2 linked regions of the Caenorhabditis elegans genome follow. The protein of the gene in region 1 interacts with the protein of each later gene in a pairwise test. Each region holds a gene or a part of one and is shown in the gene's direction. Other genes may lie near its edges.

Region 1 (6,353 bases):
TTATTTTGGTCGTTTATCTCACGTTATTTCATTTTGAGGTAAAGTTAGACAAATTTGTAAAAAAACAGCATAACGTTCCAGAAGCAAAAATATTAACTAAAATTCCAGAAAGTAGTTCTTATTGTCGTTGAATATCATCAAACCTGTTCCATTCATTTTGCAGCAGTTTTTTTTTACGTTATCAATGTTTAATTCTGCAGAAAAGTTATTTCTCGTTTATCAGTGAGCAAGTTCTCATCTCGACGTTGCACTTTTTCCTGTAAACGCTGTGTTTATAAATTCTCATTTTATTGCAAAAAAATCATTTGCATGGTGAGCACTTTCTTTGCGGATGAGTGCTATTTCTATTTGCTTCTCAGTATTACAATTGAAATTAATAGGCGTCATCACTTACTTCATCAGCTGATGCTAAATTCTGCCAAGCTTGGTTGCTTTTCAAAACGGACAATTTATATCAGTTTATTCAAAAGTGAACTTAAAAAATGAATTTATAACTTTTGAACTTGGTATACGCTAAACTTTTTCTGTCAAAATTTATTGATACCTACCGAGTTGGACACACATCAAAGCCTCGAAATATGTTTTTGAACTCCATATTGAACTCACAATTCGAAAACTCAATTTGAATGCAAATCCTTCGAAAAAACAATTTCCTGTTCCTCTCAGCTTAACAAAAAAAATTCCAGTTCTTTGAGTTGCTTGCATTTCATTATTCTAATACCAAAAACACAAATCCCGTTTCTACCGTGCCCTTTAGTTCCGTGTTTTCGAACAATATTCGGCACTTCTGTTTTCAGTCAACTTAACATTTCCAGCAATATTATTGTGTTGTTGGTCGCTGGTCATTTTTTTTGGTGCGTAACTTTTTTCCTACAGACCAGGAGCAAATATTTGTATAATAGTGAAATAAAATGAAAGAAGACCCGCGAAGGAAGAGAATAAATATTTTTCAATTTTTTTTTGAAAATAACTGTTTTTCTCCAAAATGATCAGAGATTTCAAAAATGAAAAGAAGAAAAAAAAACATATTTGTTTTTAGAAGGAAGTTGGTTATTAAAGTTGGTGAGGTTTTTTCAAATAATGTGAAAAAACAGTGATGTTTTCATTTTTAAGTTTTGAGTATGGCGTGGCGCACCTAATAATTTTTTATCCGTACCGAATGTTAAAAAAATGTAATATGTAGGTACCACTTTAGCATTACAACTGTTAAAATTATAAATCAAATTTGGTCATGTTTTTTATTTAAAAAATAATAATCTGAAACATTTAAAGACTTAAAGATTTAAAGATTTAAAAGCGTTTAAAGACTGGTAAGAACATCGACATGAATAAATGAGACAAAAATTGGCCAGACCAGACTTTTTAAATTTGATTTATATTCAAAATCTTATAGAAAAAAATATTTTTACTTCTTCTCAGATTTGATTCCAGGCAAATTATCTTGCGTTTGATTTTTTTTTCTTGAATTTTTTGTATCGTGGTCTCCAAAACTTCAACACTTTTCTCGTTTTGCTATAAACTACTTGGGACTTAAAGTAACAGTTTATATATTTATTGATGAAAATTTTTTGTTCAAATTGACAAACAATTTTACGTGTGCATTGTTTTCATAACCCGCTTTCTGCGGAAGTAACTTGCCAGCCACAGTTTTGTTTTTCGAAGCACCCAACATGTTTTGGGCACTGCAACTCACACGCCTACGTGTTACATCATTTCCTCACAAATTTCTGATTAGCGTAACTTGTAAATCTATAAATACCTGTAAACATACGTTGAATTGCAAAAAATTCTTATTCCCATAACTTTTTTCTTAGATTTCTAGTTTCAAATGTCCTTCCTCATTTCAGTCTATTTTCGATTTTCATTCATTGTTGTGTCTGCTCCACACGAATTCCAATTTCCATTTCATTAACTTTTTGTTTACAAATTCAAAAGATCTTTTCCTCGTTTCGTTTTATTTTGTTTCAAAATTAGATCGGCACCATGCAATCCAATTTTCATGATTTTTCTTTGCCAACTTGTTCATTTGTTTCATTTCAGTGAATTTTTTTAATGAAAACTTGAGGATTTGGGAGATAAAAAACGGCTGAAAAAAAAATCGGAAATTTGAATCGAAAAAATTAAATCACGAAAAAAGTGGATGATATTTGAATACGTTAAAGAGCAAATTTGGGGGATTCTTTTTTCAATTTTAAAAATAACTTCTGAAACTAGTTTTATGATTTAAAAAAAATTGTTGTTCCGTGTTTTATTTGTGGAAAACAAGGTTAAAAATAACTACTTAAACATGTTTTTTCACATGTATACATATATATATATATATATATATATATATATATATATATATATATATATATATATATGTACCATATTTATATGCATTTTCAAATTTTGAAGGCTCTACAACGATATGCCTTTTGGTGCAAGATTATATGATTGCGAATGAGTATTTACAAGTTTTTTGAAAAATAAATTTAGTCTGATTAGTAAATTAGTGCGCTAGTCTAATTTGGTTTCAAAAGATAATGGCTCCAGTTGATTCAAAATTATTCAAACGTAATCCTGAGCTGTCACGCCCATGGTGGAACAAATGATTCACTTGCATTTGCAAAAATCTTTTTTTATGCAAGCTTCTATCTTTTTCTTCTTCTTTCTCATCTCTCTTGATTTCCACCCAAATGTCTGACAAGTGGCTGAGTGATCCTGCTGAGCTCAATGAGCAAGTTTTTGCAGAGAACATTCTTCCTCCCCCTTTCCCCTGGATGAGTAATTGCCCTTGTTTGACTGAAGGGCGGAGTCATTTCTGAGAATATTGAGAGTATAAGAAATTGCGCGGCACTCATTTTTCGTGTTTCAGCTGACCAAGTCATGGAGTGGGTTTTGATGTATTCCGGAAGACCGTCATCTTCAAGGCCGATCAACCGAAATGCCGAAAGTTCAACTTCAATTGCCGAAAAGGAGCGAAAACAAGCAGAGGATTTTATCAATGATAATTTGGATGTTCCTTTGGAAGAGCTTGCTGCTCAGAACAAGGAACTTCAAAGGCTGAAAATTATTGAATATCATAAAAGTGAGCTATTTAATTTTTTTGTAACAAAATTTTCAACAAGTTGGTGATATTTCATATTTTCTGTTGCAAATAGCAATCATTCGGTTTTTTCACTCATAATTTTGGAAGTCGACCAAAAAACGGGGTTTCAAACAAGTTTTAAGCAAAATATTATGAATCTATTTTGCTTTCTTGTATTTGAAAATCAGAAGGGGTTGAACTTGAAACAATGCTTTAAAAGAAAGTGTAACATTTTAAAATTACCCCATCCTAAGACCCTACTCTATCTCTAACGAGATACACTATTCCATCAGCTCATTAACTATGCAACAAAAAAAAACAGTCTGCTGGTAATATTTTGTAAAACTGCAAATTGACTAACTTTCTGTTTTTCTACGTTAAAAGTGCTCTGTTGATCATGCTCAGGAGGGTGTCTTTAAAGTAGCCCAATTTTTTGTTGAATCTAGGTATCAATAAATCAGTTACAAAGTACAAATACTTGAATTTCAAATTCCTATAAATAAGTTTAATGTTGCAGCATAAATCTCTCATGCTTTCCATTACAAACATCACTTTTTCATGTGCCTGTGGGAAAATCCATTTTTGGAATTCTTCGTGTTCAAAAGATCAAATGATAGACTTCATTAATTTTTTTTTTGTTTCTGAAACGTTTTCGCGGGTACTTGTTTACCATATTTATACTCCTGTATTTTCAGTGAAAGCCAGGAAATGTCCAACACTTGACGAGCAACCACGTGGCCCGGATGGGAGAATTATCTTTTCCGAAGAGTACATTGATTTCATGCTTTACCGTGATCTTCAGCCACTAGTAGATCTTCGAATTCTCAAACACACTGAGATAATCATCCAAGAAAGAATTCGCGAGCGTGATGCAGCAAAGAAGGGTAATTTGTTGGATTGTGTACAGGTAAGAATATACTTTGGACTTGATAAAAACCAGCTGACTGTTCCATTTAATTCATTCTGATGTTTGAACATTCAATTTGAACGTCTGTTAGAGTTTTCTACTAACTTTTAGGCCACCATTTGTCTATGCTCTATCAATTAAAAATCACAAAGCCGAATTGCATTTTTCTAATTTAATTTTGTTTCAGGAACCAACGACCTCTCCCACCACTTGCCCAAAAGCATGAAGTGGAAAACATCAAGGACATTCAAAAATTTCATTGCTATGTTTTTAAATTAAAATCCACAAGTAGTTTTCAGTCCAAATTATTAATTGTAAACGCGTGAAAAGTGTATTTTTTATGAAAAAAAATTTTTAAGCTTCCATGTAAACATAGTGATTTGCCAATATTCTATATTTTGAAAATTGAAATAAAATGTCAAAAAATATTTTTGTAAAAGTGTGACCTGTTAGGGACGGTTTGAGAAATAGCTCCCCAGCACAAATATCTTATCAGAAATAAATTTTGCAAGAAAGTGTATCGCTTCATATTTCAATGACACGCGCAACGAGATGATTGATTATGATATAAATTTTTTGGAACAGTACATTTTTCATATCTCTTGTTATCAGCAATCACCTTCTCGAATACAAAGTTTCATCATCCCGATTCTCACATTGGTTACCAACAAAATTACACTTTGACATTTCGATAAATTCAATCTCTGATTATTGGAGAGGGCTGAGTGGATGGGGGAACGCTTACATATATCTTTCTTAAAAATGCAGTAATAACGACAATCAGTCATGTGCGATTGGTTGGACTATGGCCAACTTTTTAGAAAACAGATAGACCTCATGCTCCATTGCCTTGAAATCATGGTTGCGCAGCTGAAATTGCCCAAATTGCCGATTGCCGGAATTGCTGATTGCCGAAAATTAAAATTCCTGGAAATATAAATTTGATACTTTTTGTAGACTTAGAAGCCTAACCATGCATTTAAATAAATAAATAAAATTTCCTTTTCAAGCTCAAACTGTTTTGATCCTTTAAGATTGAACGTTTTCTATTAGAAAGTGACTAACCGAATACTGAAAAACAAACTGAACTTTTGTCATGGTTCAAAATATAATTATGATTAAAAATTGCCAAAAGTGACCGGCAATCGGCAATTGCCAGAATTACCGATTGCCGAAAATTTCGGTAATTGCCAAAAAAATTTTGAGAATCTGGAAAGACGCATTAGAGTCAATATGCTAGCATGTAACTACATATGTATGTGAAAGTTTTAGTATTCGCTTTAAATTTATAAAAACTTTCTCTATTCTTTTCTGGAACAAATGTCAAAAAAGTTGTTGATGATTATCTATTGCTCAAAGACCTTCTCATCTTTCCAAACTTTTGTCACAGGTTGAAGAGCGACGCGTGTGCGGTGCGTCCCCCCATCTCATCAATTAAATCCCGCACAATTTTTTGAGGCAGTAATCTCACGTTTTTATTGGATTTTTGTCGCATCTGCGTCAATCAAAACTTCTATTATTTTTCCATAATATTATTGATATTTATTACAAATGGAGCTTTCTGATTCATATCCTAGTACTAGTACAAGTCAAGTACGGTTTTCCAGTGAGTGATTTTTTTTAGTTTATTATTTAAAAAAAATTGATCTCAATTTCAGTTCCAATAGAAGTACCTGGAATCAAAGTGGAAAGCCAGGACGATGAAGAAAGTGGAATTCAATTTGAAGAAATCCAAATAAATCGGGAAAAAGTGTGCTGCACATTGTACCAATGGAGTGGAAAACATCAAAGATGCTGCAAGAATCATCCGCAAAATCGGCGAAACATTGGCGATATTTCCATAGTTTGGTTTTATTTCGTTCTTCTCATGCTGTTTTTGTGCTTGTTTTTTGTGATTTTTCTAGGGGTCGTGAAAAATTATTGATAAATGATTAATTTAATTCAATTTTTGGTAGCTCTGGAAGTGAACATGAATCAAAAAAATCGTGACTAATTGCGGGATGACTATATGTCTGTATCAAAGAGGAATTTTTCTGTTAAAAGATTTTAGGAAATTTCTTGTTTAGTATTTATATGAAGAATTTTAAAACACTTTTTTTTCATGTGGCTGCAAATCTTCAGATTACAATTTTTAAAGTAACGTTTTTATGTACCCACTAAAACTATACATTTCTTGAGTACTGGAATATTCTTGAAATTAAAATTCTTGATCTTCATTTACGTATGTAAGCACAACCATGCTTGCCCGCATCCAAGACAAATCACGTCTGCGACCTACTCACGTCTACATTCAAAGTACACATTATAGCTTCTAGAAAAAACAAGCGCTGCTTAAAGGTGGTGTAGTCAAATTTTTTTATTGCTTTATTAGACTCA
Region 2 (6,175 bases), on another chromosome or scaffold:
CAGCCCCTGCTCCACCACCAGCTCCGGAACCAGTTCCAGCTCCAGCTCCAGCTCCAGAAGCCGCACCTGTTGCACCATCAGCTGACGCTGGAGGATATGCCGCTGCGGCTGCACCCGCCGGTGGCGGATCTTATCCAGCCAAGAAGAGAAGAGTAGCTCGTGATTATGCTGAAGGAGAAGCTGCTCCAGCTGCTCCAGCAGAACCCGCCCCAGCTCCAGCTCCAGCTCCAGCACCAGCACCCGAAGCGGCTCCAGCACCAGAACCAGCGCCAGCTCCAGCACCAGCACCAGCACCAGAAGCCGCTCCGGCTGCGGCACCAGATGCCGCTCCAGCAGAACCAGCTCCAGTACCTGAGGTTGCTCCTGCCCCCGCACCTGCTCCAGCAGCCCCAGAATCAGATGCCAGTGGTTACTCCTCTGGTGCTGCTGCTCCAGCTGGAGGTGGTGGATCTTATCCAGCCAAGAAAATGATGCGCTTCTCCCGTCTCGTTTTTTGAAAACTTTTTATTCTACATTTTCGATCTTGCTTTTACCAACTGGTTCATTTTCATTTACGGTTCAAATGACATCAACTTTTAATAAAATGTTTCTATCATTTCGCATGTGCTGTTTACTTTTTGCTGCTCGACCAGGTGATACTCTTATCAGTTGAATACTTGAATACTGCACACTGACTGTTTTGTGTTCCATTTCAACACATTTGTTGTTTACTTCAAAACTACTAAACTGAAATGGGAAATTATCTTGAAAGCTCTTCAGAAGAATTCAATGAAGCTGCTTGGCATTCAAGTGAGGAAGATTTCAGTGTCAAACTTACAGTTTTAAGGTATATAGGAAACATATTGCGTTCACCAGAAAGCACATTTTCAGAGATGCAATGATTCAATTACGAGTTCAGTTTCTACATTTTCAAAGTATTTTCTATCATCAGAATAAAGCCAAAATTGAGCACGAAAAGAAGTCACTCAATGTTATAATTATAGTCGTTCAAAACCAAATTGACGATATAAAGCTGATAGTTGGAGAATATTTCAAAATCAAGAACCTCCAGATGTTGAAGACAATTATTGATAGCTTTGAGTATACATTGAATAAAATAGCATTCGAAATAAGCAAAGCAAAAGTAATGTTTTTTTATTTTTTTAGAAATTTAAGAATAGAATTTCAGGGCCAAAATTTTTTCATCGAGAAGGTAGAGAAACTAATCAACAATCTCAATCCATTCGACGTGCCAATTTACGAAAATATTCAAGGCGTCGTATTAGAACTGAATACTCAAGTTTCATCAATGGGAAATATTCCTGAAAAACTAGAAATTAAAACGCAAAGGGAGACTTTTCAACTCGAAGTGAGTTTAAATCTCTTACAGTTTGCTACAAAATTATGTTACAGGAAGAAAATGAGATCAGAATGGATAATTGTAGAATGATGAGTGGTCAAGCTAAAATTTACAAAATCTTCCGAAAATCGGTTGTTCTTTTCGTGAATTATCTTGAGGATGAGCAAACTTTATCTACAATACAATCACTCAATGATAATCAAATTGAATACACTATATTTGATGTTTCCACAGATTCTGAAATTCGATTTATTTCAAAAGCATTATCAGATTGTGAAACCTTCCCTCAGCTGTTCGTTGATGGAGCTTTTGAGCCATTGCCAATTCTGAAAAATCTTCTTCCGAAGCTTCCCAAGGTCTACACAATGAATTGAGCATCACACAATTTCTAAGCTATATGTATATGTATTGTTTATTTTTTATTATCAATTTAAAATAAATTTTTTCAAAAATAATGATATTTAAAAACTATTCATTCATATGATTTGCTATCGAATTTCATCGATTTTAGTTTTTCGTTAATTCTGCAAGATTTTCCGAAAGGACGTACGTAAAAATGTAGTTAGAACGTTTTTATTTGTGCTTTATTAAAGCAACTCTACTCTTAAAAAAAACTATTCTTAAGTTTCAAAAATAATTGTCAAATAATGACTCGCGAGATATCAGCTGCTTGAACTTTTTCCAGAGTTTGGATATGAGATTTCCTCAATAGGAATCATGTAGACAAACTTGTGGAACATTTTGGCGTTTGAAAGATTTTTTTTGAAAAAATCCTCCATTTTTGAGCTGTGCTTAAAAAGCCATTGAAACAGTAATTTTATATCTCATTTTTCTTAAAATTCTCTTTCTGACTTTTTGGTCATATCTGAGAACAGAGAACCCTGGTATCCCTCTCACATGGCATCTCTAGCCTCTCTGCCATCCTCCTGTTCCTCACCGATGCACCATATAAATCGAAGAGAAACAGAGAAAAAGCCTTGACTATGAAACACTGCGTCTCCGTTCTCTTACACTATTTATATGTTTGCTTTTTTCTCGAACTAGTTATTCTTCGCCAACCAATTTTAATTTTTTCTTTCTTTTGCTTCGTCCTTCTAGGAAACGATGATGCGCGGAGTTTTTGGAAAGTCTCCGGAGAAACTGAAACCCGAATTGGAAAGTGAAGCTGGTGAAGAGGATTTAGGTGTGAAACTCACAGTTTTGAGGTGAGAGAAACGTTCCCTAAAACATGAAAAACTAGTGACGGTTGCGAAATAATTTAAATTTTTTAAGATGTTCAGACAGTAAGTTTCAGATTAGAAAAGGCTCTTTTAGCTGAAATTCTGAGGTGGAATAAGAAAAATTCAATTAGGTATTAATTGTAAGTCCAAATTTTCAAATTATAACCAAGAAATTTGATTCCGAAATTTCAGTTGAATATTTCAATTCCACTCCTAATTTTATGTTTTGTATTTTTCGATAAAATATTTCATTTTAGCATACAAATTTTGCCTGAAACCGTAATTTTTCCGTTGAAAAACGCGGAACATTTGTGAAATTCAAGATTTGCTCACATTCATAATTAATCGATTTTGAATTGCGAAAACTTGCGGAAACCATAATTTTTATTAAAATATGAAATTAGACACTGAACAAATTTAAATTTTTTTCAGAGATGCAATGATCCAAATGCGAATTCAATTTCTCCAGTTTCAAAGTGTCTTCAAATTTTGGGATTCCAATGAAGACAAATTTGTGAATGACCTGAAAGCATTGAAGATCATTGTAACAGTTGTTCAGAATAGGATTGAAGACCTCAGAAACGTGGCTTCGGAGTACATTGAATTGCAAAATTCACAGCTAGCAAAAAGAAAATTGGACAAGTTCGACGATATTTTGAATCTGATCGTTTTGGAAATAAATGAACTAGAGGTAAGTTAAAACATTCTCTTAAAATTTTCAATCATTAAATTTCCAGAGAGACAATTTCTCAATTCAAAAAGTTGAGAAACTAATTAACAAGCTTAACCCATTTGATGTTCCAACTTTTGAAACTTTGGAAGAAGACACTGCAAATCCAGAAAAACTACCCGTTAGCAGAAAAGCCACAAATTTTCCAGATCAATTGACAAAACAAACAGCTCAAAGGGAGGTTTGTTCTGAACTGAAATTCATGTACAATTTTAAAAGTTATGTTTTCAGGAAGAAAGTGAAATTCGAAATGATAATTCAAAAATGGAGAATGGTCAAGCTAAAATTTACAAAATCTTCCGGAAACCAGTTCTTCTTTTTGTAAATTATCTTGAGGATGAGCAAACTCTATCTACAATACAATCACTCAGTGATAATCAAATAGATTACACTATATTTGATGTTTCCACAGATTCTGAAATTCGATTTATTTCAAAAGCATTATCAGATTGTGAAACCTTCCCTCAGCTGTTCGTTGATGGAGCTTTTGAACCATTGTCAAATCTAGAAAATTTGCTTCCGAAGCTTCCCAAGGTCTACACAATGAATTGAATCACTATTTTCTACCTGATCTTTTTACAAACCTCATTTACTCCGAATACCTCGTAAAACTCACATGATGAATCTATTTATTAATGAAATGAAGTTATTAAAAACCGTAAAAATTATGAACCGGTTACAGTGAGAGAGATACATGGGGATATAAAAAAGTGTCAGTTAAATAACGAGACGAGAAAATCTCATCATTTTCTTAGTCGGGTAAGATCCGTCAGCAGCTGGAGCAGCTGCGCCGGCGGAATATCCACCTGCGTCTGCTGCTGGGGCTGCTGGAGCGGCATCTTGTGCCGGAACTGGAGCGGCTTCTGGTGCTGGTGCTGGAGCGGCTTCTGGTGCTGGTTCTGGTGCAGGAACTGGGGCGGGTTCTGCTGGCGCAGCTGGAGCGGCACCTTCTTCAGCATAATCACGAGCAACTCTTCTCTTCTTGGATGGATAAGATCCACCACCAGTTGGAGCATCTGCGCCGGCGGAATATCCACCTGCGCCTGCTGCTGGGGCTGTTGGAGCGGCATCTGGTGCCGGAGCTGGAGCGGCTTCTGGAGCTGGAGCTGGCGTTGGTTCTGGTGCTGGAGCCGCTTCGGGTGCTGGAGCTGGAGCTGAAGCGGGTTCTGCTGGAGCAGCTGGAGCAGCTCCTCCTTCAGCATAGTCACGAGCAACTCTTCTCTTCTTGGCTGGATATGATCCACCGCCGGCTGATGCAGCAGCGGCATAACCTCCGGCATCGGCTGCTGGTGCTGCAGGGGCGGCTTCTGGTTCCGGAGCTGGGGCTGGAGCTGGTGCGGCATCGGCAGGTGGAGGAGGAGGTGGAGCAGCGTCTCCTCCACCACCTCCACCACCTGAGTAACCACCACCTCCTCCGCCACTTGAATACTGACAGTGAGCAGAGAAAATTAAAGTAGAAGCAGCGAAGATCAAAAAGAGATTCATATCTGGAAATTAATATTTAGTTGAATAATCTGAAAAGTCCCAACTCACTTGGAATTAGAAGGTGAAGTGATGCCGTTCTCGATGTCTTTTCTGTTTATATACTACTTCTCTTTCTAATCAAAACTTGATTTTGTTGTGAAAATGAAAGTGAGAAACTATTAGTTTAAAACAAAAACAGATGAAGCTGAAAAATAAATAAATTACCAAGAGAATTTAAAAAAATATATTTTCAAAGTACATTTGGAAATCCGCATTGAAATAAATTAAGGAGATTACCAACGGGACTGTCGCCAATGCCTCATTAAAATTCCAAAAATTTAAGTGAGGTCAGATTTGGCCAATCCATTTCTCTACTTTTGACTACCAGGAAATTATATTTTTCATAGCATAGATTGTTTATAAACACCCTAAAAATGACTGGTCAGTATTAATAATTACAAAAATGCAATTTTTAAAACAGGCATCTGTTCAAATCCGATTATCCTCTTTCTGCAAAACCGTTACAGTTACAATATCACAATCTTTCAATTTGTTTTGTTTTTCGTTTCACAAAGCACGGTTATTTTACAATGTGTTTTCTCTCTTTGTATTCCTTTTGTTAAATTTGAGATTGATGTTGTTTTTTTCTATTTTTGCAGCTACTGGCTTTTCCCTAGGAACTAGTTTTAGGTGTTCCGCATTCTCTTCAGCTGCCCGGTATAAAAGTTGGAAGTTGAAATTGAAAAGTATCATTACATTCTCCATCTTCCTATTTCTTCACATCAAAGTGAGTTTCACTGAAGTTTTCAAAACTTTCACTTCGAATTTTTCAGAAATGAAGCTGTTTCTTATTGTGACTTTGTCTGCTATGGTCTGCTCGATCAGTTGTGATTATGCCAGCGGTGGAGGAGGAGGAGGAGGAGGAGGAGGAGGAGGAGGAGGAGAAGCTGGATATTCTGGAGGAGCTGGGGTAGAAGCTCCACCACCTCCTCCACCTGCAGATGCAGCTCCAGCTCCGGCTCCAGAACCAGCTCCAGCACCAGCACCAGAAGCCGTCCCAGCACCAGCAGCCGACGCCGGAGGATATGCCGCTGCAGCTGCTCCAGCCGGTGGTGGATCTTATCCAACCAAAAAGAGAAGAGTTGCTCGTGATTATGCTGAAGGAGGTGCTGCTCCAACTGCTCCAGCAGAACCAGTCCCAGCTCCAGCTCCAGAACCTGAAGCCGCTCCAGCACCAGCCCCAGTAGCAGAACCAGCTCTAGCCCCATCACCTGACGCCGCTCCAGCAGCCGATGGCGCAAGTTACTCCGCTGGCGCCGCTGCTCCAGCCGGTGGTGCATCTTATCCAGCCAAAAAGAGAAGAGTTGCTCGTGATTATGCTGAAGGAGGTGCCGCTCCAGCTGCTCCAGCAGAACCTGCTCC

The links. The genes of interacting proteins can lie anywhere in the genome.
Region 2: the proteins of M03B6.1 (region 1) and F47B8.3 interact in a two-hybrid assay, tested with the Caenorhabditis elegans proteins (one large-scale study listed by BioGRID).

The regions. Positions count from the first base shown.
Region 1 is NC_003284.9:13,838,760-13,845,112, forward strand, and holds M03B6.1 (uncharacterized protein), read left to right. Parts: upstream 1-2,850; 5' UTR 2,851-2,868; coding exon 2,869-3,070; intron 3,071-3,765; coding exon 3,766-3,977; intron 3,978-4,164; coding exon 4,165-4,203; 3' UTR 4,204-4,563; downstream 4,564-6,353. Other genes in the region: M03B6.5 (uncharacterized protein), read left to right, coding at 5,529-5,583, 5,636-5,901.
Region 2 is NC_003283.11:14,319,145-14,325,319, reverse strand, and holds F47B8.3 (Glutaredoxin domain-containing protein), read left to right. Parts: upstream 1-2,316; 5' UTR 2,317-2,443; coding exon 2,444-2,544; intron 2,545-2,991; coding exon 2,992-3,250; intron 3,251-3,296; coding exon 3,297-3,470; intron 3,471-3,520; coding exon 3,521-3,841; 3' UTR 3,842-3,953; downstream 3,954-6,175. Other genes in the region: F47B8.18 (Skin secretory protein xP2-like), read left to right, coding at 1-497; F47B8.4 (Glutaredoxin domain-containing protein), read left to right, coding at 732-826, 871-1,123, 1,169-1,348, 1,393-1,713; F47B8.14 (Skin secretory protein xP2-like), read right to left, coding at 4,007-4,774; F47B8.13 (Skin secretory protein xP2-like), read left to right, coding at 5,589-6,175.